3 linked regions of the Drosophila melanogaster genome follow. Changing the gene in region 3 together with the main gene of any one other region gives a genetic interaction. Each region holds a gene or a part of one and is shown on either strand. Other genes may lie near its edges. The genes, in order: Ets21C, parvin and Eip93F.

Region 1 (10,952 bases), on a different chromosome or scaffold from region 3:
AAAGACACAGTTCCCACTTCTAGACAATGTCGGACCGTTGGACCCACCATCCCGTGCCATTCGTTCATTCATATTTCTTGGGGCCCCGCCACCGGTCGCCGGAAATGCCAGAGATCTCGTGGCTGCCATTGAGCAATCTCCTCGTGCCGCTCATTCTTCGCCTGGCGGCTGGCATTTGCCCAGCGGAAATTCCTATGAATTTCGGCGCTCTTACCATTGAAGATCATCGAGGTGTGCGGATGCTGGTGGTGCTGGTGGTGGTGGTGGTAGTGGTGGTGCACGGCACCGTGGTGCGGATGGGGGTGCTGCCCAACTGGCGGGGCCGGCTGCATCCGGAGGCCAAAGCGCCGGTTGAAGTCCTCCGAGAGGCGCCACATGACGCCCACGTCCACGCTGACGCTCATGGTCGCAAAAGTCTTTTTCAGAAATTGCAAGTGCAAGTCACTAAACTATTTCCGTTTTAAACTTTAGTAAATATCTTCGATTAAGTCACATCAGCATTTGGATTATTTCTTAAAATAATCAATCGCATTTTACACTTTGCAGTTAGAAATTGTAAGCTTGTAAGCAATTTCTTTCTATTTGGTTAGCTATTATAGTTTAGGTTTGCTTTGAATGCTGCGTTGGATTGACCTTTGACCCGATTGGATTGTTCTATGACCATCAATGAAGGTCTATGCCGGGAGCGCGTCAACCGTTTAGGACGAGAGCCATTCGCCGACTGAAACTTTAGCCAGAAGCGCTGGCCGGATTTCGCTCCTTAGCACCGGACGGATGCCTGGCATCTGGCATCTTGGATGGGAGCATGGGCATCCGCGAAGCAGTCGAAGCTCCGGGCACGATTACGGCTCACCTGCGCAGCTGGTGGTAAATGCCGCTTCGGCATTTGCCAGGGAAGTCGCAAAGTCAGAGGCCACGTGCAGCCACTCAACCAGCACCCACCCCTTCGCACACGATAAGCAACTTGTTCTTTTGCAGCGTTTCGACTAATGCATACCCAGTTGCGAGTGGCTGGATATATTATAAGGTGGCAGGGGCGCGTCCGATGGATGATGGAACCAGAAAAGTATTCTGTTTGCGTGGGGAAATATATCCGAGTTTTTGGGAAATCATATGACTAATGGTTTCATTGGTATGTTCCTCAAGGTACGTACTATTGGTGGCTGTGGCATTGTGAACAGGGAATGGCTTTGATCCAGTTTGTACCCTGTAAAGGGGGCGGTGACTCAGACATGGGAGCCACAACCGTAGCCCACAACAAATGTAATCTGCGTGACGGCGACGACGCGTAATCCTGGTTGGCATAAAAAACAAATCAATTAAATCGACGTCGCCTGCTCCCGGGATCAAGGCATGTATGTGTAGTCCATGGAACACCCATCCACCAGCATATGCCAGACCCGAATCAGGGGGCTTTGCCCGCCCTGCACTTGCTCTTCCTGCCACAGGAAGGATGCGACGAATGAATATTTTCCTGTGCCCAAAAGCTGACCACCCGCAGAGCTGTTGTCACGGACAAACCACCCAACCCATCTCAGCTATCCAAGCCATCCAAACCACCCGACCTTCAGCCCACTTTTTCCGCCAAGCTGAAACTTGACTCGGCGACTTTTGTCGCTGGCGTGGGATTATTTTGATTTTATTATTAGATGCCACATCCTGCGAGAAATTATCATATTTACATCGTTTATTATTAAGTTCATCACTTGACGCGACCACCCACAAGGCCCTGACACGCCCCCCCCCCATCCCCCCCCAACGCCCATCGCCTTTGCGTTGGCAGTCATCGCCAGTTAATAACTGGAAAAGTGTTGCATACTTTGCTGCTGTCGCGCAGAGATTTTCCCAACGACTTACGTTAATGGAGTCTCGGAGAAAGTTGGCCAACTCGAGCGAAAGGTAATTAAAAGGGGATTTCCCGCACCTTCGGCCACTTTTCCTCCTTATCAAGACATCCGGAGAAGTGTGGGAGAAACAATCAATGGAGCACATAAGTTACAGCCGTATCAGCACGAAGGCATCTTAATCAGTGGCCATTTGGCCGGCGACGGAGGCAAAAGGATTCAATTGATGCCTGACCACAAAGGATTCGAGAGTCGGACAATCGCTCCGCTGGGAATAGCACGTGAACCCAATTACCAAGCAGTTCAATCTCTGGACTCTGCAGATTTATGTGGCCCGAGATTAGCTTGGGACAGTGAGAAAAATGTGGCTCCGTTTAAGTAGTTTTACTCGATTCTGGAAGGGTTGGCACTTCAGAAATAGGAATTCAAAGACTAAGCCATAAGAGGACATAGGCTAGGATTTGAAATCCCTCTTCAAATAAGCTCTATCTTAGGCACTCACTTGGTTCGTCGTCGTTGAGCATCGGACTCGTCTCCCGTCCGGTGGCGTGGTATAAGCTGATCGCGAAGTGCTGCGCCAGGAGCATGCCTCCGCGCCTTGATCCTGCACAGACCCAGAAGTCCGCGCGAGACAGATCGCACAGCTCCTGGGCATCCTTGGGAAACCTGTCGATATCCGGCTCCGGGTCCAGTTTGAACTTGCGCGTCGCCCATCTCACCCAGCTGGCAATGTCCTCGGGCGTCCAAGCGTGCGGATCCACGGGCACCTCCACGGGAGAGACGCTCCGGTTGGAGTCGCTGGAGTTCCTTCGAGGAGATGGCGCCTGGTGAGGCGATGAAACGGCGGGCGGAGTGGGTGTCGCCAGCGGGAGGGGCACTGGCAAGTTGAGGGCGGGTAATTGGCTTCTTATGCTACTGCTGCTGGTGGAGGACCCGGAATCCGAGTCTGTTGAGGAATATGAGGATGCGCTTGAGTCGCTGGTGGAGCTACTGCTGCAACGCCTTCTGCGTCTTCTTCTGTTGGTGGGAACTTCCGTCTCCTTCGCTTCCAGTTTGGTCTCGTTTCCGGATCCGATGCTTTTTTGCCGGACATCCTGATGCATGGCATTAATCGGCCTCTGTTGGCACCAAGCACTGCGAATCGTCTGGCTGATGATTGGGAGTTGCTTGTGGCTCTGGCGGCTATTCTGTAGAATGGCCATTAAGCTGGGATGTTCCTGCTCCCACTTCGAAAGTGCAATATCAGCTATTAGCTAAAGACTTTTGGTAGCTTTACCGTTTCACTTTTCTTTGACATTATTCGGTTGGCATATAAATTCATCTAATCTATATTTGCTTATTGTTTGATTTTCACTAAGATTTCATTATACCAGCTTGATTTTTGGTAAGTGCACTTAATTACACTTTATTGTTTATGTTTTTGGCGCCCTTTTGCACTACTAGAATATTCACTTCACTTTGGCCCTGTTTAATCATAATATTCTAGGAATCACACTTTCGCATTATTGCGTTTATTGGTAGCCTGCAACCGGTTGAAACGGATTTAGGATGTGTGTTCGTCTGGCTGGATGATTCACCCGAGATAGTCAGGGTATTTCACCTGCTGACCGGACAAGTGGAGTCAGCGGCAGGCTTTCCACGTGCCGCAAATCGCGGAAATCTTTCGCGGAAAGTTTGCGATTGGAAACGTTTAATAACCGTTATTGCATCGACCGATTACAGATCCGCCGATCGGGTTAAGAGTAGCGCCGTATTCCACTCCAGATCGCCGATCTTCGATCGCTCTGGCCCTGATCCGACCCACTTGGCGAGTGACGAACTAATGATCAGCGCCGGCGAACAGTGATAAAGCCATGACGAAGTCGGCTCCCATGAGCTTTCCACTTGGCGCTCTCTCGCCGACTCGGCTGCCCCATGACCAACCGGCTGACTTCGAGGGGCACTGGCTGCTCGGGACCAGTTTGCCGGCGGCGTTTGCCACTCGGCTCGCGAGCTTTCGCTCTCCGCAGTGCCCACTTATCGCTCGCTCGCAAAGCAAATAACAACCTTAAGCATGACGTCGTGAAACTGGCCTAGTCCGTATGAGTCACCCGTCCATTGAGCACAGCGATCGTCGATCGGCGGGAAGCCGACGGAGTTCCCCAGCCTTGTGTGTGGGCCACAGGGGGTGGCTCGGGTGGAAGGTCGTTTGGGGGCCAACGAAAATTCATTCATTCATCGATTCCCCTCCTATTTGGATTTGTTGTCTTGTTGCCTTTGCCGCGTCATTCTTCTGGGAAATCGGGCATGAGTCGTTAGTTGTCTGTGGTCCATGCCATGCCTACTTGGAATATCAGTTTATCTCTGTTCCGATATTTGGCAAAAGGTCGCTCCCAGAATGATATAAGATATATATAGATAGAAGATATAAATATAAATAATAAATAGTTATGTCATAATCGAGTGATACATGGTTTTCTCTACAAGCCTCCTATCCGCAGTTCATCCTTGTGCGCATTTTACTTCGTGACAAGTTCCAGTTAAGGGTCAGTATTTATAAAACTAAACCATTCCATATCCATATATGGTAATTATATTTGGGATCTAAATATCCAATTGCTTGACGTCGGTGACGTTTTCGATTTAGTTTATATCAGTTCGCCAACTGATTGCTCTTTCGATTGTTCCGAGTTTCGCTGGCTTCCTGGAAATGCCTCTGATTTCATACATAGCTGAGGACGCGGACGCTTTTGGGCAAGTGATTCACGGATGGCCGCTCTCTTTTGCTTTCCGACTGGCGCCGGCAGATCCGCCGATCCGAATCCGTATCGCTGTTTATATTTGCTTTGATGTGACGTCGGTCACTTGAACTCACATCCAAGTCATATACCTACATACATATACATATGTATGTTTCAGCACCGAAAGCTTTTACTAGGCTTGCGTACATCGTGAAGTTCATTCATAAAATTCCAAATGGCCCAAGCAAGGGATTTGTATACAATATAAGCAGAAATTTAAGCAGTCTTGTGAAATACAAATACAAGTTATACAAATACGTAACTTGTTCGTTTTGATTGAGAACTTTAAGATGCTTTCCACGATTTCTGTCATTGTATATACTTTCGTTTATGATCATTAATACTTAATATCTTAGCATAACTTAGTATCTGCTGGTTGAAACATTCCATTGTAGCCATTGCTTATCCAATTTAAAGGGAACTCTTTTGCCTATTTACTTGTTATCCGCTCTGCGGAACTGGGACGTGACTAGGTGCTGCATCGCCTATTAATTGAATCATCTAATGCAGCTCCTCGGTGATCTCCTCGTCATCGGCGTCGTCATCATCAGTAGTCGTCATCCCAGAAGTGCTGCTCATTCCAGTGGCGGCCGTACCGCTTGTGGAGGCGGTCACCTGGCGTCCCGCATTCCAGATGAGATCGAACTCCAAGTGGCACTCCTGCGCAATTTTGTGAACGATGCTGCGATCCAAGAGTCCCGAGGCACTCCACGTGCTGTCCTTCACGGTCAGCTCCTTCAAAGCTCTGCCCGCCTCAGAATAGTCCTTGACGTAGACCAGGGCTCGGATTAGCATGGCCAAGATATGGGCGTGGCGTATGGGCGGCAGTTCGGGTTTAACTTAATGTGAAAACAAAAGGTTATTAATGGAAGCTGAGTACACTCTAGGCCAGCGACTTACTCAGCATGCTGCGGCAGGAGCCAATGACCAGCTGGTGATCCCCCTCGCGCAACGCCTGCTGGATCTCCAGAATTGCCTTAACATCCGCGACCGTGCGCTGCAGATTGTTGTAGACGTGCTGGGCGTGGCTGAGCTTCTCCAGGCATTTGGAGGCTTCCTGCATGGCGGTTAGAGCCTTACCGTAATCCTGGAACTCCTCGATTTCGATCTGGGCGCAGATGGCATAAAAGTTGGCCAGCGAATCAAAGGCCTGGCCCTTTGTATAAAACGTGACTATGTGCTTGAGCACTTGCGGATCCGATTGCCAGTCCAAGGCTTGAAGATAGTTCGCAGCCATGATGTAGACCTCACGTTGCCTCGACATATTAGCGAAGAAAATAATTTTGTCGGTGTTGCCCGACTTCAAAAGACTCTTCATGGCGCGAATTTTGTCGCCAGCCTGGGTGAACTTCTTGGTGGCACTGTGATAGTCGCCCTGCTGCTGGAGGAACTCGCCCAGCTGTACGAGGATGTGGACTCGAGTCGCCTCCTCGAACTCCCCCTTCTCCGGAGTAAGCATCTCGGATAGTTCCTCCGTGACGGGTACGCCCTTCTCGGAACATATGCCCAATGCCCGTTCCAAATGTCTGGTCTTGGCCAGCAGATGCACGGCCTTCTGAAATTGCTCGATACTGCAAAAGAAATCCGCACAGCGGTTAATCAACTCGGCATCCGAATCGGGCGCTAGATCAGAGGCAATAATTTCCAGGATCTCTGGCTGCTGAGACTCAAATGCCATCTCGAGGGCCTTGTGGAGCATCCCGGCCCGATGGTAGAGTTCAACGGCGTGTTTAAAGTTTCCGCACTCTTCAAAGTAAGCTGCCGCAATTGCCTTGTCCCTCTGCCTTGACGAGCTGGCCACCGTCCATAGTTCCTCCTGAAAGTCGTTCTCCTTGCAGATGCGGATCGCATTGCTGAAGGTCTGGGCACGCGTAAAGAACATAATGGCCTCCTGGAACTTGCCCACGTTCTCGTAATGCCTCGCCAAGTGATAGCAGGCCGCCCGATCCCCCGACTGCCTGGCAATCGCGTCTGCCTTGGAGATCTTACCTAGGTAGCAGAGTATCTTTACCTTGAGAGGAACAGGATGTTAGTGTATAGTGTTTCGTGGTATCTTAAAGCCTTGCTAATTTACCTGCGAGAACCAGTCCTCCGCCTTGTGGTAGACAGCCAGAGCAGCATCCATGTCGCCGGAGCTCTCAATATACTGGCCCCACCATTTAAGCAGCTTGGGATCGCTGGTGGTCTGGATGTAGCGCTTCATGGCGCCAGGGTTTTCCAAAAGCAGTTGGGTAATATTTTGCGCTGGATTCTGGGTCTTTTCAAAGTACTCCAGAGCTCCCTTGATGTCACCCCTCTCTCGCAGCTCCTGTGCCTTTTGATAGTACGTGTGCTTCAGATGAATCCGATCCTCGGCCTCGGCCAGCTCTACTGCTTCATCCAAGTGCCCAATGGACTGGAGCAGCTTGTTTAGCAAATCGAAGCGCTTGCATCGACGATAAAGATCCTTGGCTTCCTCAATCATTCCGAGTTCTATCGCCAGCACAGCCACCTTGGCTTCCGTCTCCAGATCGTCATCTTCAATCGCTTGGCGTAAGGCACGAACGGAGCGGGCCTGTTCCAAGTGGCCCATGCACACCTTGGCCACGTCCAAGCGATTCGTGTGCACGCACATCTTAGCCAGATTTGTCCAGATCACTTTCGATTGAATCGAGCGAATGCTGCGATAAGCCATATCCATATTTCCCTCTGCGACGTAGAGACTGAAATTCAGGACTTGCTTCCTCGTAACTGGATTGCACTGCTGTAGGTCGACGAAGTCTTGCAGAGGTTGCTCCTCCATCGTATTGATCTTCAGCCGGATCACGTTGGGTACACAAAGGTTCAGTAGCTGGCAGCCTGGGCTCATGGATTGTGTTTCGAGGACATTCAGGCAGCCTTTCTCGGAATAAAACAAAAGGACGACTTTTGACTGCACAAAATGACTGGGTTGCAAGGAGTTCTTCTGGGGCAGGGTCTTCTGAATCATGGACTTGACTTCTGTAGCCAAGAGACGAGGTTCCTCTGCATCCCAGAAAATCCGAACCGGCAAACTTGTCGAAGACTCCTTCTTGGCGTTGGTTTCTGGCTCCAGTAGTCCATATTCAAGAAGATTGCTGCGCTCAAAGTCCCAGCAGAATAAAGTGGATATAGGGGTGAAATTGCTACTGGCTATCACCATGGCCAAGTGGCTGCCGGAGCTATTGCACTTGACCAGAATGAACTCCCCGAAGTCATCGAAAATGTCGTGACCCGATTTGCTGGGAAAGAGCAGCTTGGGATCGTGCCTAGAAACGTCGTAAGCTTTCACATATCCATTCATGGTAAATACCGAGAGATAGCAGCCACTCAAATCCATTCCAATGATCTTTCCTTCAATATCGCTTGCTTGAATGCGGTGAAGCACTACCCCTCCCACGGAGTAAACAAAAACGTCACTGCTACCCAAGCAAAATATGTTCTGGTTGCACAGATTCAAGGCTAAGCATTCGGCAGCAAAGGTCTGCAGGAGTTTCAGACTCAACGGAGTGGTGGTAGATTCCGTCGTCGGTGTTGTGCCCTCCACTGTCTGCAGGATCTCCTCGAACTCATCCAAGCTCTTCTCCACTTTCTGCAGGCTATAGGATGATATGCTCCTGCCATTACTCATCACCAAGCTCAGTTCACTCAAAGCCATGGCAGTCACGGCGAACTCGGACTGAACAATGGCCTCCCGACCGCTGCAGTGCGTCAATTGCACTGATTTGGCTGACCTCTGAACTGCCCACAGTTCGCGGGTATGAACGGCGAGCAGAGGTTGCTCCTTCAGCATGAAAACATTGGAAAGGCAGTTGACCAGCATGCAGGGCTTGGCTAGCTCATTGTATCCCCATTCGCAGCTGCGGATGGCTCCTCGCACGGAAGATATGTTCGTCAGCTGCCAGGCATCTTCGGGGGCACCGACTAGCCTGCTGCCGCTCCTCTTCCAAGTATAGACATTCCCCTGGGACGTTCCTGCACACAGAGTCTGTCCCGTAGAGCTATATGCCAAGCAGGTGAACATTTCGCCGTTCAGCTGGCCGTACTTTGGTGTCTTGCGGAGAACGCCGCTGCTTTCGCTGCTGTCATGGCTAAAGAATTGGTTGGACGAGGACATGGTGCCATTACTTAAAGTGGTCATAGATGAGCCTGGCTGGTTGCCACTGGGTAGGTCCATTTTCAATAGGTAATTGTCGCTTCTCTCGATGTCCCAAATGCGGACGAAAAAATCGCCTGAAAATTAGTCTTAAATTTAGCACAGAAGTGAAAAATCGAATAATATATCCTACCTGTTATGATGGCTAAAGAGTTTCCAGACCACGCGATGCCTCCCTGCCGACCGCCTCCACGTCCGCTCATTTTAACACGATCCAGCTCCGTAAGGATGCCTGTGGATTCAACCAAAAACAAGGTGACTGTCAAGTCCTCCATCAGGCAAATGACGGCGTCCCTAGAATGGAATAATGTTAGGGTTCAGGTAAAGAACCTTTCGATCTCAACAGCTCTTTACTTTCTTGGGTGCCACAACATCTGGACAATGGGAGGCAGTGATCCGCACTTCATCACCTCGACACAGGCGCCTCCTTGGTTGATGTAGTACACCACTCCTCCTTGGGTGCAAGCGTAGAAGCAGTGGTTGTCCCGCACCCCCGAATGGGTCATGCTCCGGGCTGCTGTGCGCGGTCTCCAATTGGTTAGGGTGTCCAGGGCGTTCTCATCGCCTGCCACAGCAGCCTTGGCTAGATTGGCCATCTCCTCGCGCACCTCACTCTCCACCGTAAGGCGGAAGCAGATCAGCAGCAACACCTCCCGCAGGTCGTGGGAGAACATGGTTAGGAACTGGTACTGGCCATCGCAGCGCCATCCGGTGACCAAGCCCATGGCATCCGCCGTGACCATCCGCCCGCCCTGCTCGCTGAACTGCAGCAGGACGATGGCCGCCTTGTGCGGTGCGTTCACGCTGGCAAACTCCCTGTGACCAGCGAACCACACATGGATGTCGCCGTGCTCCCAACCGCTGGCCAGGAGCGCCTTCTCCGGATGCCAGCATAGTGCCGTCGCTTGCGAAGTGGCGTGCACCGGATAAGTTACATCTCGCTGGGGCTCACCCTGCAATTTGATTATATAGATTATATACATTCCGATTTTTGGCAGGGTCTGCGACCAAAGCGATTAATACTGACGGTATCTGCAAAGATGGTCACTGAACCGCCTCTTTCGGGACTAAAAGAGGCCACTGCGAAGAGCGGCTCACTGGGATGCCAGCTGCTGATGGTGCTCACTGCATCCGAGTCCAAGAACTCGATTTTCGTGTCAAAGTAGAGAGTCATCACACCGGTTTTCCACCTTTAGTGGATGAATTTGTTTTGGCAGGAGCCAAAACACAGTAACAATGTGTTTGCCTAGCAACGGTTGTCATGGTTGCTCCTAAGCAATTGATTAATTGAGATACCAACTTGATCCAGGTTATTGGATATTGCAAAGAGCAAATAAGCACAATAGTTTTATTTCACCATTAATTCACTTTACCGACAAATAACTCTTTGGTTTATGAGTTCTCAAGTTATCATTCACCACTTGATCGCACGATTTGTCATGGGGTAAAACAAACAAACAAGCTAAACAAAACTTTTCCAGGGAATTTAATATGGTACTTCCCAACAATACAGTTCTATTTCTATTTTCAAAACTTAACGGGTTTTGTTAAATCTGCCTACCCACAGGGTGATTCCGACACCCAGCAGCGAAGATAATTTTAAATAAATACGAATGGGTAGATATAATTATAATAATTACTTCCATAGATCGACGACATTACTCATTCATTACATCATTTTGGAATCTATTGATAAGCATTATGCTCCTCCCCTGCACATGTGACAACCAGCTATTAACGGCTTAGCAATGACTTTGCAGCTTTGCCAAAATTCCAGATAAATATTAAATCCCTATTAATCAGATAGCATGTTAAAGAAAAACATGAGAATTCCTTCATGGCAGAAATCAAATGTTCACAGCTCTAAATAACCATGCGATTCTATTAATTAATTCTAGCGTCTTTGATTTCAAGTTGCATTCCACATACTTTAGCTAGTTTAAATCTAGCCAAATTGGCATCGCTGGAGCTTACCCACACAATCATCCGTCGCGTATTCGCCCCGTTAACTCGCAATACTCGTGCATTCGAATGAAATCACCGGCAAACAAAACAGTGAAACCAGAAGGTTCGCCACTACTGCGCCTCATTTGCAGTGCGAACTCTGAAAATGGCTGATCGTCCGTGTGCTGGAAACATTCTCCGCATCGCCGGGGCCGTGATTCTGCCCAATCT
Region 2 (10,680 bases), on a different chromosome or scaffold from region 3:
GCCACAATTATCCGTAATTAAGATCAAGGGGGGGCTTACCGCTTCTTGTTGGACATCTTTCCGTAGGCAATTATCCAGAGGGCCGCCGTCATGCCCGCCACGCCGACGATGGCGCTCTGGTTGTTGGCCAATTTGCTTAGAGCCGGGGCCATTCTGCTATTGCGATGTGGCTACGGATCTCGTTTGGCTTCAAATTGGGCACCTTGTGAATTTTACAATTCGCAATTTCGCGTTCGCACTTCAGTGTTCGATTAACCGCACGTGGGGGGAGGGGGTTTGCACAAGGAAAAAATTAAAAAAAAAAAATTATAATAAATAGTAAGTATGAAAGGGGAACAGACACTATTGTTTATTGCACGGATTTCAATATTTTAATCGGCTGTTTGATGACGACACAACACACAGACATGCACACACACACAGATGGTGGATAGCAGGATGTAAACACCTGGTTGTCGAACAGCCCTGTCTTAGCTTCGTCCTCTCTCGCTCGCACCCTCTCTCTCTTTCAGGGCAACTGCTTCTTCTTCTTCCTGTACTACAACTGGTGGTGGTGATGGTGCTGCTGCTTCTTCCTCCGCTGCTAGTGGCGCTCCTTTTCTGGCCAAAGGGGGTGGGCAAAGTGATTGTCACACACGGCGGGCGCTTTTATTTATTCAATTTGAGCCAGGCGCATTTCTTTGTTTGGTAATTACACTCTACTCAGCTCGACCAAATCGAGAAATCTGACGAAGTGATACGTGCGACGCGCAAAAGCCAGCAGGCAACTAACTGTAGTGCGATGTGCGCTAGTGTTGGCTACCACGACAATGTGCGGGCAGCGGCGCTGCGGGGGCAGCTATTTCGCCGCCAAATCTGGCTATTTCTGAACGAAGAGCTATCGAACAAGTTATCACCGATAATTATGAATCGAAAATATCGTTCATCTAAATTTGAGGTATTAAATATTTTAAATTAGCCAAATTTAAATTTCCCCGCTTAAACTACCTAAACTATTGCTGAGCAATCATGTTATATAAGTAAATCATATAATGGCTTACTCTTACGAAAATTCCACTAATTTTTATATCTCTTATGTTAAGCATATTAAAATGTTAAATGAATAAAATGTTAATGTTTCGTTGATTGCAAAAAAAAATTAAGTTAAATATTAAAAAATATAACCAGAGCAGACAAATTTTAAGACCTTTAGTCCTTTAGGTATTATAGAAAGGAAATCTAAAAACTATATAAGTATCAGCCAAATCCCCTAATTTCGAACCAACTAAGCATTGTATTCCAACTCCGCTTTAGATCTTTCCACTCCCATCTTATCGAAGTGGAAAGCATTTGCCTTCCCCATTCTAATCTAATAAACGCCAGTCGGCAGATTAGAGATTGCGATATCTGCAGGGCCAGTGAGAAGGCATAATACGGGTCCTCAACATAATGTGTATATTCTAATGGAGTTCATAGCCAGCAAATCATTTAACAATGGACCTTCGATGTGTCGCTCTATTACAACATAACTCAATTTAATGTCACGCTGACGCAGGTTCCGACTGGTGGGCATGGCCTCTGGCCAGAAACAGGGCACAGTTTCGGGTTGGCGGCGGTACACCGCCGAGCAGGAGTCCCGTGTTCCGTGGTTGTAGTTGTGGGCCAGCCGAGCAAAATGTGGGACAAAGTCTGGTCAACATGGCAACCTGCAACGGGCGGGAGACGGGGCTTCTCGGCGCTGGTTAGCTGCGGCGCCTAGTCGCAGGAGCCGTCTAGCCAGCCGTCGCGCCACCTCTCGTTCACCTTGGTGCAATCGAAGAGCGGTTTGCCCAGTTTGTCGTTCACTCGGTTGTGGAACTTGCACAGCCACAGTGCTAGCTCCTTTTGGGAGTTCACATTGATGGGGTTGACGTCCAGGCTGCAACAGAGGTCCAGCTAAAGTGTCAGCGTTTTCAAATGGATTGAAGATGCACTTACTCGGTGCGAAAGTCCTTGGCGCAAAACTCGCAGGGGTAAAGGCGCGACAGAACCTCAAAAAAGGTCTTCATGTCGCGCTTCTCGGTGTCCGTGGGGTTGTCCGAGTAAAAGGCGGCCATGGTGTGGAGCAGTCCCCAGGTGGAAATTCCCAGCCTCACCTTGTCCAGCGGGCAGTCGTCGCGGGGCAGCGGATCTTCGGCGGCGTTGACGGTCAGCTTTTCGGCGGCGGCCATGTGCTTCACCTGGAGGAGTATGAAAGTGGGAGATTCTTGTGTTATCGTCCTGCTTGCGAAGGCGAAGTGGCCAACGCGATCACGTCACCTTGGCGCTCTGCACGTTGGAGATGAGGCGTTGCTGCTTGGACCACGACTTGAAATCGTTGCAGGTGCGGCAGTTCGAGTCCTGTTTGCCGGCGCCGCTGGCACCGGCCTTGCGGTTCGCTGCGAATGGGGACTCGTGGTGCTCCTTATCCATCTCGGGATTCGCCTCGGCAGACATGATGAAGTCCGGGTCACGGATCAGGCGGAGAACGGTGCGCTGCAGACGGCGAATTACCAGGCGAGTTGCTTCCCGGCTGAGTTCGATGTGCGTGGGGCTGATGTAGTCGTAGCCGTAGTTGTGGGACTGGCGGCGCAGCAGAAGCGTTGGTGTGGTGGGTAGTTCTAGAATCTTGAAACTTCGCTCGGCTATTGTGAAAATCATAAAAAGCATGCGCATGGTTGCCACCTTGTTTCGAAACGAAACACATAACATTAGGACATATCTGGCTAAGCGGCTTAGTTAAGCGGCTGCAATCAACGCAAGTTACTAAATACTGGCTTTTAGATTCATGGCCAACATCTGGCCAAGGACCAAAATCCGGTCAGCAAAGTAACATTTTCAAATTATACCGGCCAGCAATCGAAAATCGATGCGAAATCGTTCCCGAACGGGAAGCGATCTGGCAGCCTGCTCGCAGCTGTGATCGATACCAGACCGTTGCGAGTTGCGCGCGCAACCGCGACAATTCAAATAGCACAGCGTTCAGAAAATTACTAAGGTTTGTTTCTCAATCAATTCGAGACGCTCGAAAGAACTTACATGTGAATAGGATGGAAGCTGGCGTTTGTGAGTGCTGCAGCCCCAGATAAATTTTGCGCCTTGGAACTGTTTAAAATAGAATAACACATATGCTATTGGCAATATTTATTGATTTTTCTGATCCAAATTTTTAACGTACACAATAAAATTTTTTTTTAAGACTTTTCCGTAAACTTCTACATTTACAGCGTTAAAATCTGATCTGTGACATAATTTGCAAAAGCTCTGTGTGATCTAAAGGCACAATCTCGGTTATTGTGTTCAAATAATGTATTAATACAATAAATTCACTTAGTAACAACTACAACGTCTGGCACGTGAGTAAGACAAGTTAACAACTGGCCGCCGGATTTTGGGTTTGGGTTAGCTCTGCTCTGCTCTGCTCCTTCCTGTTCCGAGCAATCTGAATCTGGAGCAGATCGCAGTGGTTAGACGTACGACACATAAATATATATATATATATATAAACATTCCTTGGGCTGATTATACGCGACGCAGCATTTAGTTGTGGTTTTGAGAGTTAGGATCAGTAAGCTTTAACCGCTGCATCGCCTACAATCAGTTTCGAGAACGCACATAAATTAGGCGTGTAAACACTATCAAAAAGTTAATATAAAATGTAAAATTGGCGCCGCTTGTTGCTCCTGCAACCCGCTGGCTCGTTCCATCCGGGTTTCACTCAGGCGAAGTCCCTGAACATGGTGAACAGGCTGTATAGGACGCGCAGGGTGGACTTGAGGTCCATGTTCACGATGTCCTCCGGCCGCGCCTTTGGTTTGGGCAGGCCCACGTCCTGCATCAGGTCGAAGGCGAAGGCCACGTTGCTGACCATCTGATCCACGTCCTGCGGCGTCAAATGGAACTCGTGCAGCGGCACAAAGAATCCACCGAGCAGGCCCATCAGCAGGCACAGGTATACGCCGTCGCGAAAGTCCGTGTTCAGATCGCTGATCTCAAAGTTCAGCTTGGCCAGGTGCTTGTTCACGAACGTGATCAAGGACTTCTTCACCACGGCCAGCTTGTCCGGCGCACAGTCGATCAGCGTGTCGAAGGCGTCCTTTTCGCAGCGCATGCCCAGGTCGTCGTACTCGGACGTTATCTGCTCCTGGAACTTCTGCGCGTTCAGCACGCCCGCATTCTTCTCCGCAATCACGACGGTCACGAACACGTTCTCTGGCAGGCGAACGGGCGCCCGGAAGTGACGCACCAGTGCCACCAGCAGATGTAATATGGCCACAATGTTCTTCGAGTGCACGCTGGCCACCGACCACTTGGGAATCTTTTGGTGAAAGCCGAGTGTCTGTGGGTGTGGGCAAGGATAAAATTTATTCTTATATCGCGAGAAAAGGGAATGTTAATTGTAAATCGAATAAAAATTATTCTATTCGACTTTAAGAATGGATAAATAATTAAATGTTGGTAACTCCGATTTTTAAATCCTGCAAAACATAAACTACTACTACTTACATGGTTGACGGCCTTCAGGACGATGTTGAGCTTCTCGTGCTGGCCCTGCTCTGACTGGGTGACCTCAGGAACGTCCAGCTTCTTGCCGGTGAGCTTCTCCCACAGCTTGTGCAGCACCTGGCCGTCATACATGTCCTCTTCCAGGTGCTGAACAATTATGCGCTGCTCGGCCAGCTCGTCGTTGATCCAGTCGACGAGGATGCGCTGCAGCTTTATCACCTGGGGATCACTGATGGACTGTGGATCGATGACGGCGCGCTGTTCGTGCTCGCCTGTAGGATCAAATGTGATGAGTTGTGGGAAATGCGATGGGTATACGAGGAGATGCCCCTTCAAAACGAATGCACTTACGCAGGGCATAGTCCTCCGGCGGGATGTCATACTGGCTGGGCGATCCAGGCGAGTCGATGGCGTACTTGCCCTCCTCTTGGACCTTCTTCACTGCAAATGGAGCAAGCGGATGCGTATTTAGGGTATCAACAAGGTAAACAAAAACGGTGACGACACAAGGCCATCTCACACAAACGCACACACTCTCGATTATCAGCGCCGTTTGCTTGTGTGGGTCAACAGTGACGCAATGTTCTGATTAATCAGCGCATCCGCACATCTGTTCCCAGAAGAGCTTCCAGTGCGCAGGGGGAGGATCCATTGGGTCATTTTGGGCCACTTTTCGGAGGTTCAGGGGTCCAAGAATGGAATACTCTGGGATACCCATCAATTCCTGGCCGACAATAGCCATCTGGAGAGCTCCAATCATCAAGTGGACTTACCTTCGCGGGTGCCGCGTTTGCGGCCCAAAGTGCTGAACTTGTCCCAGAAGCTGTCCTCCTTCTCGCCCTTTTTAATGGCGGTGGGCGTGTGCGGGGATTTAGGGCGGTTCAGTGTGGACATGGTGCTGCTGGATTCCAAGAATTCCGGACTAAGTGAACAGTTTGTGTTATTGTTTCGATTCGTTTCGGGCGGAGCTGAGCAATCAGTTTCCCTTGGGGCTGCCACCTGATCGCAGGCCCACCACACATGTTGTCCAACACTGGCGTTCGGACTCAAGAGAAACTTCCAAAAAAATCGAATAAAAACTAAATTGCCAATTATAAAAATTGTTTAAAAAGACCTTAGATTAAATTAAAACAATGAGCTTAAATGTTATTTTTCATTTATAATTTAAAAAAAATGTGGCTTTTGACAACAACAGCTAGAAGAAATTCATATCAGCTTAATAGTTTTTGAATTTGTACATCAAATTAAATTGTTGGAAATTTTAAAAAAATTATAATGCGTAGATCATTAGATCATTGATTAAAAAGCACAACAACATATGTATGTATGTATGTCCTTCATACCGAATCAGATCAGATATAATTCGTATATATTAGATATGCTATATCCAGAAAGATAAATTTCGTACCGCTTAAAAATTATTGTACCACATTGCGTATACAGATAACTACCAATCCAATGATTTAAAGGCTTTCAGAATAGTTACATATATGTATAATACGGAACTAGGGCTATACTACGTCTATGGTTTAGATGGAGTTGGGCAACTGGCAGGCGCGCACAGCCACGAGCTGCAACAGAACGAAGATCGGCGAGAAGACCTCCGAATACTCGAGGCCCGTCTTGCTGGATAGCTTCAGGCAGAGCAGGTACTTGAAGATGGCGATGAGCACCAGGAAATACGTGCTCCACATGAAGCGATGCAGGGCTTTGCGCTTGTTGTTAGAGTCCAGGTACATGCGGATGCCCACAATGACGCAAAAGTACGCGTTGCAGATGTCGATGAAGAACAGGGGGCTGAAGACGGTGAACCAGTCGCCCATGGGCTCCGGGAGTATGCCACCGGGTCCGGCCCTGGCCTGCAGATGGAGCTTGACGGTCAGCGTGATGGTGAACACCAGCAGGCCGCACAGATTGACCAGAATCTCGAACTCGGTGAGCCCCAGCCAGCGCACCAGCTCCGAGAGTTTGAACATGCTACTGCCTGGCCTTCGCCTTGCCTCGGAACTGGCCCAGGGACTGGGCTTGCGTCTGGGACTGCGACGGTTGCGGCACGGCGATGTCGAAGAGACTGTTATTGAGGATCTTGATGTGCAGGGCCGAGTTGTTGCGCTGGCGGAAGGTTATGTCCTCGGCATCGCACAGCGGGTGCAGTTCGTCCACCAGCTGAACGGTGGAGGTGTTGATGGCGTAGCTAAGGGCGCCGTCAGAATTCTGGACGAGGCGTAGGGCGATATTGAGGCCGCGGGTTACGGAGAAGCCCATGCAATGCAGAAAGATCTCGTGGGCGCCGGAGTTAATCAGCTCCTCGCAGCGGCGCTGCTGGGCCTGTCAAGGAGATGGACTCTGTCACTTAGCACATGGGCGATTCACCATCCAGCATGAGTTCAGTTCTACTTGCCTTAAAGTCTGTCTTGCTGGTGATGTAGATGTTGTGGCGGTCGCTAACAGCGGGACGCGGCGGCTGCTTGCGCACCACTCGGTGGTTCTGTTGTTTGTGGTATTTGGCGGATCTCGGCTTGGTCCCGTGCTCGGGATAATTGCTTCCCATCATCAGCGGCGGAGGAGGCGACTTGTGTTTTCCATTTACCTGCGCGTGTCGCAGTTTCGGACTCGCGACTCCATTCCGAATCGCACGCTGGCCAACACTGGCCAACTCTAGCGAACACTAGGCAATAGCTGAGCGATCTGGCAGCCTGGCTCTAGCTGTCACCGTGACAGCTCTCGATAGTTTTGAGCCAGCCCATCGCTATAGCTATCGCCAGGCTCGTGAGATTCTCGCCAGTTGAAAATTTTTCGTCGTACTCTCGTAACAACAAAGGTATGTTTTTCGTTTTGGCACCTTATCAAGTACACCAGACCGTAAGCCAAGGCACCGATCGATGCCATCCAAAGCAAGAATTAACTTGGCCGCGCGGCGCCACTTCGCCACTCCAAATCGCAACACTCGCACACACACACACATACACTAGCGCACTTACACACTTCCGCTGGCGAATTCCTCGGGCAGCAGGAAAAGAAGAAAGAAAAAAGTACAAGTTACATAACTCGCTGATGCACTCGGGGTAGTCATGTCTGTCGGGGTGAGTTGTTTGATGAGGGGCGGGCCGGGTCTGCATCTTCCTGCGTAAGTTGGCCCCCACCAAATGGATCCGTAACCGAATGGGCGTACGGATCCCCAGGGTTACATAAGTCACCGCCCGCCACCGAGGGGTTGCAACGGAAAGCGAACAGAAACAGTCCCCTTAACGTAGCCACTATTTTGTAGCCAGAAAGAAAACTCAACTCAAATCAGATCAGATCAAACCCCCTGCACAGCGCGTCCTGGTTCGAGTAACGTTTTGTATTCATGCGTTCAAGTCATTTTTCCATGCAGGCGAATCCGAAAATCCGATACGTTTCAGAGTCGCAAACAGTCAAGAGTTAAGCACAAATCGCCACTAAAAGCTAAAAGGCTAACAAGCTGAATCGCACTGATTCGCACGTAGCCAGCCAAACGGAAGGACTCCTCCGCATCCACAGCAGCAGCAACGGCGAGCAGCACGAACAACATCCACGGATGATAACGTAACGTAGCCGCAACGTTGGAGCAACACCACCTTCCACATCCACTTCCACCGCAGCGGACATCGCAAACAAGTAAATTACCATTTCTCATTTTATCAAACAGAAATCTGCCAGCCAAGTACCAATCCAATCAAATCGAATCGAATCAAATCAAATCGAGTCCAAATCAAATCAATGCATCCAAATCCAAGTCTGAGTATCCAAATTGCATAAGAGTCGCGTCTGCGCAGTGAAGCATTACTTGTCGCGAGCATTACTTATCGCCCGTCCACTTGGTTGGAGTTCCGGCTCCCGAATCCGTACCCAATGTCACCCAAGTCAACCCGATTTTGATTCTGATTCGGCCCGGTCAAGGAGCCAGCGCCAGCCAAGTCAAGACAGTGCTCGAAAATAATGCTAGATTCTCGATTATCGATTCTTGGTTCTCCATTCAAGATTCTGACACGCGCCAAACCGAACAGAAAAGAATAGAATCGAACCGTACCGAACCGAACCGAGACGCAGATCCAAAAAAAGAACAAAACGCTAACTGATTACAAAGTATACAGATCTTGTGTATAGGTATTTCGTAAACGCGCCTCTGTCAACTGCTCGATTTAACGCGGCACAGTTTCGATTTGCAGATCATCACTACATCCACACCCGACATGTCGGCGGCCCGCCTGCCCTACTATCAGCGGGATCAGGAGGACGGCCACCAGCGGCGCGCCGCACGCGGCCATCAGCGCGGCTACTACGAGCGTGGCTCTGGTTCCGGATCCTCCAGACGAGAGCACAGTCGCTACAGTCGCAGCCGTTCGCGTTCCCGCAGTCGCAGCCGCTCCGCCGAACGCTTTGGCCAGCGTCGCCGCCACCAGAAACGGCAGTCATCCCGTTACCACAGAGACCGCGACTCCAGAGATCGCTCCCGAGATCGCTCCCGAGATCGCTCTAGGGATCGCGAACGTGATCGCGATAGGGACCACTCAAGGCGCTCCAGCCACTATCGACGCTCGGAATCGCCGTCCTCTTCTGACATTGGCCATGGATCCAACAACAGTCAACGAAGAGGCCACCATGCATCATCATCCAGTAAATCGGAGCTAAGCGCCGTACAGAAGGCAGCCGCTGCAGCTGCCGCCGCCACAAATCAAGTCCAGTTGGCTGGCAAGAGCAGTGCCGCGTCCGCGGTGGGCGCCTACTACAACCTGGACACCGACGAGCCCTTTGACAAGGAGCGCATCCACCGCGAAATGGAGCAGAAGCTGCGCGAAGCACTGGCCAGGGAGGGCAAAGTGTATCCGCCGCCAAAGCCTGAGCCACCATCGCATCCTGTCTTCGCCAACGACGGCTCGTTCATGGAGCTGTTTAAGAAGATGCAGGAGGGCCAAAAGCAGCAAGCGACCAGCCAGTTGATGCAGCCATCGGTCAAAGAGGTCCTGCAGCAGCAGTTGGTTCCGCCGGAGGCGGCCTCCACAGGGCCTGCACTGCCGGCCATTGCATTGGGAGCTGCCAGCAGTGCTGCGGCGCCGTACATTGCTGCCGCGGCGGCCGGAAAGCTGGCGCCGCCGCCACCCATCGTGGGACGACGTCGCGGCGGAAAAGTTCTCAAAACTGGCGTAGTGGCCAAAGTGAAGACGCCCAATGAGAGCGACGTGGACCCGAAGGACTTCTGGTCGTTGTACCTGGCCGAGGTCAACAAGTACAAGAGCAACGCCTGCGATACGGACAACGGCAAGCGGCCGCTGGTCAAGTAGTCGCCGAAATAGTCGCGCTTTCCATAGAAACATGAACTTGAACGCAAAAAGAGCGAGAAACGTATACTGCCCAGACGCAGTACTGCAGATTCGATTTTGATTCGACCATACCCCTGTTCCCGAGACACCATCACATAGCGATCCCTTCCCGGCCCCTTTGAAATGTTTTGTACACGAAAACAAGCGAGCAGAGATGCGTAGCTTATAGTTTTAGTCGAGAGTGGGTGGGCTTATGAGCTGCAAGCGCGAGCAGTGTAATTTGTATTTTTTTCACACGAATCGATATAATATAATATAATATGATATATACCGCTCATTAAGCAAACGCAAACTGAAGAACTAACCATTGTGATTTATATATCTATCTCTTCCTTCCCGTTTATGCACTGAAATTGTATTTACGTTTGATTTCGATTCGGTTGTGTACCGCCTCACATCCCATCCCACCCCATTGTGTTCATCTCTTTCTTTTTCATTTGGACAACGATCCATCTGTCCCGGTCTTCGTTTTGGTTTACTATTTGGTTGCCTTACCGTTTCGTTTCGTTATGTTTTTATTTTCCTTTGCCAACTAAAGTCTATATGCAATTTTTCATGTCCAAAAACAAAAGCAGCGACAAATCGTCAGACAGCAGCAACATGTCCGCCTACAAGCTGGAGACCGCCCCGTTCGACCCACGGTTCCCTAACCAGAACGTGACCCGCTACTGCTACCAGTCGTACATCGACTTCCACCGCTGCCAGAAGAAGCGCGGCGAGGACTTCGCGCCCTGCAACTACTTCCAGAAGGTCTACAAGTCGATGTGCCCCAACGCCTGGGTGGAGAAGTGGGACGACCAGCGCGAGAGCGGCACATTCCCCGGCCGCATCTAAG
Region 3 (10,495 bases):
AATTGAGGTCACCTTCAAAATTATCAAATTTCGCCCGAAATGATTAACTCGACAAACACGAAAATGTCCGACCCCTCGGAAAAGTCCTCGTCTCGAAATTGTATAAAGAATAAAAAGCGGCAGCAGCAGCAGCAGCAGCACTACACTCGCTCGTTTGCCAGCAAAAAACCTTATCTTTGTTACACAAAAAAAAGAAGGAAAACAACAAGGCGACGATGTTGTTGATGATGATGAATTTGCCCTGATTTCGACACAAAAACAAACAAAAAAAAAACAAATGGAAAACTGCAAAACTGAAAAAAAAGAAGAAAGAGAGGCGTTGTAAACTAAAGAAGCGAAATAGAAACAAAAATTAGATAAGACGAAATTGAGTCGCAGGCCGACAAAGCGACCAGAAGTTTTTCAAGCAATTCGCGAAAATAAAAAACTGCCACAAAAATGTGACAAAAAACGAGCAACAAAAAAAAGTGGAATTATGAGCGGTGCAGCAAAGTGCAGCGCGTGTGTGGCCTCGCTGGTGGAGGAAAAGAGAGGGCGCGATTGCGGACCGGAGGAATAGGAAAATATTTTTTTTGTCAGCAGTTGTCTAAATAACGAAGCCAGAAAGCAAACGAACTAAATTGCTGAAAAAATGCAAAAAAAAAAAAAAACAGCGATGGCGGAATGAAAATAAACGAAAACGTAACAAAAATCAATTGTCGCCAACCAAACGTCAATACAAGTGTTCGTGCGTGTTGTCCTCTCTTTCTGCCGCCGCCAGCCGTCCTTGTCTAATTGTTGAGGTATGGGTTATTCGTGTCCGTGTGAGTATCGTCAAAATTCAACCGCAATTGAAACTATTTGTAAGCTGAAAAGGGGCAGAGTTCTATGAATTTAATTGTTGCATCGACAACGGCAAAATACAAACATAAAACCCAAAAAATAAGCAAAGAATAAGAATTTTAAATAAGTCGATTTTGAGTCAAATTAGAAACTCTTTAACAAAGGTTCGATTAGTAAAGTGGTATATATTAGTTATTCCTATTTTACAGATTATTTAAAATTCATTTCTCTATTATTTCTTCAATACAACCTATTTGCCATTTAAAATATTAATTAAGATAACAACTTGAAAAAAGAAATTATGAAATTTAAACACAATCAATGCAAACCATATTGAGAAGAAAAATATCATAAAATGGCTCAGTTTTCTATGGAATATCTAAAAAATAGAGGCAAACGTGTTTGTTTTCAGTAAATGATGCCACAAATAATTTGCGAAAAAAACGCTGGAAAATATGAAAAAACTGGTATGCAGGTTTATTTTGTATTTCCATTTTCTATTTTTCGCAAATTTTTTGTATTTCTTTTTTTTTTGCGAAAACAGTTGAATTGATATTTGCGAATGTTGTTGGCTAGTTATTTTTTTTTTTTTTTTTTGTTGCTGCCGACTAGTTTTTTGTTTGGAATTTTTTTCGTTGCTGTGCAAAAGGTGATAAGCTCAAGGACAATATGGCAGTTTGGCATTGCCGGTGCGCTGTTGCTGCACTCGCCTAAAAATTGTTTGTTCAATTGTGTTTATGCATATGGAAAATATCGATTTTGTTTTTGGACAACAATGCGGGGAATGCCAAACGCAATGGCCGTCACACAATTGGCTCTATTAAGGTCGCCGCGCTGTTTAAACTTTACAGTCGCGGCTGCGGAATGAGGAAGCCATAATCATAATTGACCAACTCCCATTGTCTTCCCCACCTGTTGCCCAGTGTTTTTCAGCTTTTCTTTGCGTAGGGGATTTGACATGGCCAAAGTTAAATTAAAAACATTTCCTCCCCCTGCCCACTTGCCCCTCTGCACGTTGCTCCTTGCTCCTTTGCTCCTCTGTTCCTCATTCTTCCCAATCCGAATCCTCGTTTGGGACACGCCTTCTATGTGGAGCATAGCCCAATCTCCTCGGCCAGCTAGAAACAACAACTGCCTGTTGCACCAGCTATGTACTTCCAGTGCACTTCCAGTGGCCCCACCATCCAACCAAACTATATAAACTATATAGTGGCGTGGCATGAGGAAGATGCGAAAAAAAACTGCGAGAAAGAAGCGAAATACGAAAAATAAGCACAAAAAAATCCAAAGCCTCCCAATTGCAGGAGCCATACCCCATCCCCCCATCCACACACCCATCCTGCGTCCTTTCGAGCAGAGCAACAGTTTCTTTTTCACAACATTTTCCCAGCCACACGAGGATTGGGGTAATACTGAAATCACACTAAGCTCTGTCGGATTTCGTTGTTAGCAATTTGCGTACAATTTTAAGTTGATTTTAGAATTAAGCCAATTTTTAAGGCAAAATATAGCATTTTAAGTGTGTAGTTACTTAATTAATCAAAAGTATCAGGGTTATTTAAAGTACTGATGTAGTTGTACCTATTATTTCTCTACTAAATGAGGAGATATAATTATGCATATTACATTAGCACCACAACTAAGCTGAATATATAAGTAGTCTTTTTGAATTTATTCCTAATTATTTCAAAGTAAGCGTAGTTGCGGTAAATTCACTCAAAACGCATGCATAATTTCGATAAAAGTTGATATATATATATAATGGCAACTCACAGAAGTGCAGGCTTTTTAGTTTCCATAAAAGTGAATCACGCATTTCCCTGAGCGTAGATGTACATAGACCCACTAGACCCTTTTGGCTTTTGGAGTGTGAGTCACTCACTCAGTGAGCGATAAATGCATGGCGACTACTGCCCGACTTCCCGGAGTGGCAGCAACTTGTTGCTGTTGCTTTTGCTGCTGCTGTTGTTGTTGCAACATCTAATCCAATCCAAGGCGAACAATGGCGAATGCAAATGCAGATGCAACCACTTCCTTTTGTCTGCCGGAGGAGGCGAGATGAGGAGGCCGTGTTGCAATTGCCGTTGTGCCGCTGATGTTGCCCGTGTTGCTCGTGTTGTTGCTGCTGCCTTGTGTTGATGGTCAAGGTCATGAACCTGTTCCAATAACTCGTTTCTTACGTGCAGCACACACACATACACACACACCAAGAAAGGCAGACTGGTAGTCAGATGACTGTGTGTTGCATGTTGCCCGCCTGTTGCACTCCCGTCTAATGCTAATCCTGGCCAGAAGCCAGCGGCTAGAAGCCGGGATGACTAATGGATATCCGCACAAATCAATTTGAGAACATGAAATTAAATTTCAATCCATCTTGGCTTCTGTCGCCTCGGCGGCAATTTAAAGCTAAAAACTTGTCGCCGTCGTGAAATGCGGAAAAGCCTCAAGGACAACGGCGAGTGAAAAGAAAATTGCGACGCGTGGGCGACACATCAGTCTGCCCCCACTTTTATATCCCCCTTATACCATCGACTGATTCATTGTCTTATTTTTTTCCGTCTATGTGGCAGTCAGACTGTGTCATAAATCGCCGCAAATGAATTATTCGAAATCAAATGCAATTGTGCACAAAGCGAATCACTTGGCGAAATATCTACATATATAAAAACAATAATAATAAAAACATCAAGCGCAGTGCTTTCCGTCTGTCAACTTGAAATTAGAAGCGCATTAATTAGAAATTTTTATTATTCGCTCGCACTTAATTCGCATCCACTTCATTTGTCTTTCTCTATTTTATTTTTTAATTGTTATATATACATATTATTTTTCATTCAAATTCAATAAATTTCAAGTTGACATTTATATTTGCGCATTAATTGGTCGTTAAGATTTCCGCGTATTTTTTTTTGTGCCTCATAAAGGAAAACCCATTCAAGTCCATTGTAGGTGACAGATTGTTTGGAAAAGCAAATATAACGATGGTGCTGGAAGGGGGCAGTGGTATCTATACACCCATTAGAGGCACTTGTTGGGCTTCCGAATGCAATTGTGTTGATTTCTTGAGACGATGGAAAGTTTTTCAGCTTTTCATAAACACTCGATTGATTTTCGCGAATTGCTATACATTTGAGTAACAAGACTTTAATTACCTCTTTCAATATTACTTAGCGAAGGCGCATATAAGTTCTTATCAAATTATTCCCTATTCTAGAATGATCTATTATTATTTCTTATGAGCAACGAACATCTTGAAAGTGAGCAAATCAGTGCAATCATTTAAGATGAATCACAGGCATTTAGAGTCATCCGATTTAGTCAACGGAACCGATCCCAAAACAATTGGAAAATGCATGATACGGCATAGGTATAATAATAACTATACAGCTCAAAAACTTGTTGCAGTTGGGGAAAATCCGGAAAGGTTCTTTGTAAACTAATGCAGGGTAATTTAAATTATACACTTAGCACTCAAGTATTTTGTTATTTGATTTTTTGCATAAATCACCCATTAGTTAGTTCTAGTAAACTTAGTTATTTAATTATAATGCAAATGGAGCTACATAATTCAGGGAAATCCCAGAAAATACGCTACCCGAATTGATAAGAAAATATCTACACTGAGGATAATTAGTAAGCCGTTAAGAGAGAGAGAGAGAGAGTGAGGACAAAATGCAATTTTTATAATACAAAAAATACATTTAATTGAAACATACATGATTTAATTAATTTTTGTAATGTTTACAAAGAACCCAAAAGTGCTGGCTCATGAATTTTTTCCCCATTCTGATGTATGTACATAAATGGAATGATTAAAAAAGAATTCTTACTCACTTTTCGTGGCAATGCGTCCCAATATTTACAAGCTCATTAATGTAAATATGTAAAAAATTTGTGGTTTTTTTGCAGTACGATGAAAACGTTGACTTTGTTTGTGGTATTTGTTTTTAATGTATTAAACTTTTTTCCTTCTATCATTTATTTGTGGTTGTCACAGCACTTTTGCATTTTCAGCTCTTTTTACTTTTTTATTTTTTTTTTTCGTTTTTAGTGGCCTGGCATGTCAACTAAAAAATTTTTGTCATAAGAAAAACGCACGTTAAAGGTTTTTCTCTCAGTTGCTGTTGTTGTTGTTTTCGCTCGGGAAGAGGAAGCATGTTAAAGGTAGTGTGCATGTGCGTGTGCGTGTGTGTGTGTGTCTGTCTGTGTATGTGTGTGTGAGTAGAAAATAAATAAAAATTCGCACACCGCGACCAGCGTCAACAACAAACAAGCAACAACAACAACAACTGACACTGACAGACCGACGTTACTAATACGCAAGAGCGCAGGCAGCGACGCCGGCAAACGCTGCAGCAGCGAACGCCGCCTTCGATCCGAACCCAAATCGGTCGGGCACAAGAATCGCCCGTCTGGGCAGTGAGGAGAATGGAGAATCTCGCAGAGAAGCCGAGTCTGGCGAGAATATCCCACTATCGGAGTAGCCAAGTATCCGAGAAACCGAGAATCCGAGGAAGCGTGAAGCCGAGAAACCGAGAAACCGAGAATCCGAATCCAAATCCAAATCAGCGGGGCCGGGACCGAAGCGAACCGCTCGAGCCGACGGACAATAAAGCTAAAGCCAGCCTGCTGCCACAGCTGAGCAGACCGCTGCAGTCGCGTTCGACGAGCGGATGCACTCACGCACACAAGCAAGCCAGCATTTCCACTCGGCCAAAAAGTGCATTCGCAGAACTCACTCAATGAGAGCGAGAGGGAGCGGAAGGGAGAGAGAACGAGAGGTTGGGAGAGCGAGTTAGCCGGCTTGCGTGCAACTGTATGGGTGCCTTCATTCATGGCAGCCGGTAAAAAAAGGCTAAAAGCGAAATTGGTTAACAGAGAGCCACAGCAGCAAGAGGCTAGAAGTAGACGTTGGAAAAAAAGCGAAGAAAAAGAAAATGGTGGCCCAGAGAGCGCTGGATTTTCCGCTCAAGTCGCGGGAAAGGCCAAGAGCAAGTACAGTGCAATTTTTAATTGCACACACACACACACACACACACAGAGACTCGCACTCACACACACACATATGCATAATGCACGCTCTCTGAGAATTTCACACATATTTTTTTATTCAAGCAGCATTTTGTTCTCGAGTTTGTAAAAATTTGCAACGATTCGCTGCCAGTAGTGGTGCTTGCATTTCATTTTTTTTTTCTTTCTGCTCAGCCTCAGTTTTGGTGGGTTTTCGATTTTAGGTCCGCGTCCGAATCGCCAGCGTTCGGCACTGGAGGCGCTCACTCACCGCTCGAAATGCAACTGGCGGCCAGCGACGAAGCAAACCGATCCGAGCCGGCTATACGTCTATATATTCCACATCCACTTCCCACAACGGAGGCTCTTCTCGGCCGGGGGAGCGGCGGGGCACGCGGAAATCGGCGGGAGGAATACGTAGGCTACCGTTGCACATGCACTTTTTTAGTTTTTATTTTGGTTTTGAGCTTTTTTGTTTTCGTATTGTTTTCGTTTTTTCACTTTTTTCGGTGCGAATGTCGAGTGCCAGAGCGTACTGAAAACTAAAATAATTCATTTGGGCTGCCACTTTGAAGAATTGCGATTTTTGTGAGAGAGTCGGGAAAGGATCTATGGATGGTGACCCCCAAGGATTGAGCGATCGATAATTGGGTTGGAGCCCAGATAAGCGTTGCATTTTTCCGGGAATCGTTATAGTGCACTACTCGAGGGTCGTAAAAGTAGACAGCTTATTTTTAGTAAACAATCGTATCAGTTCTATAACCCAAATACCTTTGTTAAGCCTTATAAATTATACCAACCCACAGACTTCTCTTATAGTTATTTTTATTTGAGTTATCAAAAATCGTCAAATTTTTGACATTTTTCATAAGGCCATTTCCAGCTAATTATGTTTGCTAAGAACTTCAAGACTTTATATTAAAGTCATTTTGTCAAGACATAAGATAATCGCCTTTAATATAGCCTGACTAACCCCAAAATTACCCATTGACTGACTGAGAAACTGAGTGAGTACCTATTATTAACCAAAAGCCCCAACGAGGAACTGATTGCGCACCTTAGCGACTGAACAACTGGGAAACTGACGACCGGACTGACTGACCAACTGAGGAAATGACCGACTGAGAACAGACTGCAATTCGAGTCGACTTGCAGCGACTCAATTGCATGTCATTGTAGACGAAAATATTTTTAGTTTTATTGTTATTATTTTCCTTATTTTTTGTGCAGTTTTTTCGGCGTTGACTTGGCGTTGGCGTTGACTGGAACAACTTATGGACCGGACCGATGGAGAATGAGATGTGGGCGGTGAAGGGGCAACTAGAAGAGGGGCAACTGAGGGGCTGTTGGGGGGATATACTCTGGGCCTGGCCCCTGGTCTCTGCCAGAATTTTGAGTCGTGACTGGTTTCAAGGTCCCTCAATTAATGCGAAAATTTCGTTGTAATTTTTGTGCCGCTTTTTTTTTTTTGCTGTTTGTGTTTGCATGATTGTAAATGAAAGAAACAAAATTCGTGTATAATAAAAATAGTAATTGTTTAGTTGGTTTCGCTTTTTTTTCTGCTGTTTTGTAATTTGTTTTGGTTTTTATTTGCTGTGGCACAATTGCTTTTTTCGAATGCTATTCTAATAAGCGAAATATTTGTGCATTTAATTGCGCTCACAAATGACCTTGAAGCTGGTTTGCACAGCTCTGACATTTGTGTGGTTGGGGAGGAGTGACAAAATTGGGGTGGGAAAATTGATACCTAAGCTTATTTAACATTTGCAAATCAATTAAAAAGTGTTATTGAGACCATATGAATAAAATATTATTTCATGACAAAATACGACGATAATCACTTGATCGAAAAAAGGAACTCTCAAGGACTTACCGTCCGCTTTAAATTGCATCTTCCGGTGAATCAGAAAAGCTACCAAAATACGCTCTTGCATAATTATCCTTTGAGCTTGAAGTCCTGCCCACCCCTGGCCCAGATTGATGCCCACATCCGCTATGAAACTCCAGTCGTCGTCATCCTCTCAAGCACTTAAGCACTCGGCACAAGTATGCCCGAAAAAGGAAAAGAAAAAAACCAATACGAAAACAAGGAGCAGCCGAAAAAAGCAGAACTTCAAAACATAATGTCGCCATCAAGGAACACATATAATTGCTGTATTTACAAAAGATAAAATCGGCGACAACATGCACACGACCCGAACTTGTCGAAAGGAAAAAGTGCAGCGGAGGCGCAGCGAAATATGGAAAAAAAATGAATGAATGACGGACCAAGCAATTAAAATTAAAACCACGTAAGCAAATGCGACAAAAACCCCCGAAAATGTCGTTGAAATGATGGGCAAAGGGGGGAGAGATACTGCACAACTGAAAAATCCACCCCAATGCAATTGCATTCTGTACACAAAAGATGCACGAACCAAAACGTGCAATTTGTGTTGAATGCATTTCGAAAAAAGCAAACAAAAATCGGAAAAAAGTACCCAAAAAAAAAAAATGGTATGCAATTTTTGCATAATGAAAAATGCAGCAGGCAAAACGCACACACTCACACACACGCACACATGTGCAGTCTATAATGAAACGCACGGTATGCACGGGCATTGAAAGCTGAGCTGCAAGCCGAGTTGAACTGCAATCCAGACCCAAAAATATATTCTAAAATTAAAATGCAACGGCCTGACGCAATGCAAACAGCCAAAGGGGTGCAAACACAGACACTCACACGCACTCACACTCCCAGTTGCATCACGCACACCACTGCGGCTCGAGTACAAAGAATGCATTTTTGTGCATCTTGAAGATACTCTTTGCTTCGGCTGGAACAGGAAGAAGAGGAGGAGCGGGTCGACTGCCGTAGGGCTTAAGGGTCCGGACGCCCAGACTCTTCGTCTCGATTAATGAACAATCTTCAAGTGCGTTTTTCCAACAAAATTATTCATTTCCTCATATGCTGACGAATGGAAAGGTATCAGTAAAGTTAGCATAACGTCTTCTACACCCTTTAAATTAAAGCACTGCGATATCAAGAATATATATTGTAATCAAACCCCTATTAAGAAGTGCAATAAATACAAAAATTGTATTTGCTTTTATTTAAATTATTTCCGGTTATTATGAAGTTCAATAGAATCGAATTGAGCCTAACTGACGAAGAAAATGCAAGCTGTTCTAGAAACTGTTGAATGAATTAATAAGAACTCAGATTTTAAGAAAAACGCAATCAATGTCATATATAATTTCTAGAAATTAGTGTTCAATAAAAACTTTGTTATTATATTTTAATAAATGAATATAAATGAATATAAATATAAGCATCAAGGCACCTCTTAAAAGGGCATACAAATTGACATCTCCTAAGTCCACTTTTTGATTGGGCCAAATGAAAAGCGCCAAAGTGCCGCGCAGGAAGCCAATTGCATCCGTTCTAAGTCAGGACAGGCGGCGTTTGGCAATTGGCAACTGGCGACTGGCCACTGGCAACTTTCAACTGACGGAACTGGAGGAACTGGCGGAACTGAGCCAAGTGCCAAGCGCCGCCAACTGTGGAGCGGAAGTAGCTGAAATGAGCTTGGGAACGACTTAGTTGAGTGGGCAATGCGATGGACTAAAAACATGGCCATCATAAATAATGAGGCGAAATTAAACTTGCAATTAGATGAAAATCAAGATAAATCAGTTATAATAGCCAGATATTTAAGCGGCATTAAGAGTGAGTGCCAAAGACATTAGGCGACATGTGGAAATGGTGGAGAATGTGCACTTGATCCGGTGGTTATGGCAAATCGAGCACAGCGATCGAGGTCCCCAAGGATCAAGATCGCGACGCTTGCGAGGAGGATGACGTCCACGGGGGCACCCAAGGGATCAAGATCGGCTGATAGGAGAAATGCTCGAAATAATTTGTAAATAACGAAGCTGAATATTACTTTTCCTGCTGATTGCTTATTTAAATATGGCCCCTTATTGTTTGCTCTTGTTAATTTTAGCCAGCAGTCGTTAAAGCCAGCCTCACAAAGGCGAGCCCGCCAAGGCAAAGATTAATGCAAACATAAATTAATTTGCATGCCGATTAACGAGTGCCTTTTTTATTTTGTATACTACTGATAAAGTAAATAAGCTCTGTTACCGTGCATTAATAACATTATAATATATTTTTAATTATATTTTATAAGCCGCAATTACTTTGGAACGTTCAATCTGCTTTTCCAATTCGATTTCCTCCGACTGTGTGTGTGTGTGTGTGTGCGTGTGAGCGTGTTTCTGTGTGTGTGTGGCATGACCTCATGTGGCACTCGCACTGCCGCGTAAGAGTAAATGAAAAGATCCAACCAAAATAAATAAACCCCCAAACGCAATGAATTCAGCAAATAAGCAAAAGTAAACTGGGAAAAACTGACAGCCGCCCAGCAGCAAGCCAATGACCAAGAATCGGCGACAACAACAATCAAAAAGCTCACAGAGATTGCTGCAGTTGCTGCTGCTGCTGCTGCTGTTGCTGCTGCTGCTGAGGCCAAGGAACTCGAGAGCAATACAAAATTGCTTGGCCTTGGTCAGGCACAGTGCACACATATAAATATTTTAAATGTTTCTTTTTCCTTTTGCTTTTCTTTTCGATTTGTTGACGAGGTTCATTGTGCGTTTCAGCCAGCCGCCGCCGCTGGTT

What was found.
Region 1: of Eip93F (region 3) and Ets21C, changing one suppresses a phenotype caused by changing the other (phenotypic suppression), as found in Drosophila melanogaster (one study listed by BioGRID).
Region 2: of Eip93F (region 3) and parvin, changing one enhances a phenotype caused by changing the other (phenotypic enhancement), as found in Drosophila melanogaster (one study listed by BioGRID).

What each region holds. Positions count from the first base shown.
Region 1 is NT_033779.5:548,812-559,763, forward strand, and holds the start of Ets21C (Ets at 21C), read right to left. Parts: upstream 3,644-10,952; 5' UTR 3,047-3,643; coding exon 2,347-3,046; intron 692-2,346; exon of another isoform or gene 405-691; coding exon of another isoform or gene 215-404; intron 1-214. Other genes in the region: rempA (reduced mechanoreceptor potential A), read right to left, coding at 5,126-5,463, 5,525-6,635, 6,699-8,854, 8,911-9,071, 9,132-9,730, 9,805-9,951; Tspo (translocator protein), read left to right, coding at 10,888-10,952.
Region 2 is NC_004354.4:19,740,906-19,751,585, reverse strand, and holds parvin (parvin), read right to left. Parts: upstream 5,546-10,680; 5' UTR 5,398-5,545; coding exon 5,277-5,397; exon of another isoform or gene 5,099-5,276; intron 4,945-5,098; coding exon 4,855-4,944; intron 4,776-4,854; coding exon 4,504-4,775; intron 4,337-4,503; coding exon 3,716-4,336; 3' UTR 3,128-3,715; downstream 1-3,127. Other genes in the region: Abcd3 (ATP binding cassette subfamily D member 3), read right to left, coding at 40-152; Alr (augmenter of liver regeneration), read right to left, coding at 1,735-1,897, 1,957-2,198, 2,278-2,673; CG33932 (uncharacterized protein), read right to left, coding at 6,033-6,479; Rpp20 (ribonuclease P protein subunit p20), read right to left, coding at 6,481-6,831, 6,905-7,057; CG18809 (uncharacterized protein), read left to right, coding at 8,718-9,806; COX6B (cytochrome c oxidase subunit 6B), read left to right, coding at 10,389-10,679.
Region 3 is NT_033777.3:21,944,034-21,954,528, reverse strand, and holds the start of Eip93F (Ecdysone-induced protein 93F), read right to left. Parts: upstream 5,416-10,495; 5' UTR 5,127-5,415; intron 4,890-5,126; 5' UTR 4,657-4,889; intron 1-4,656.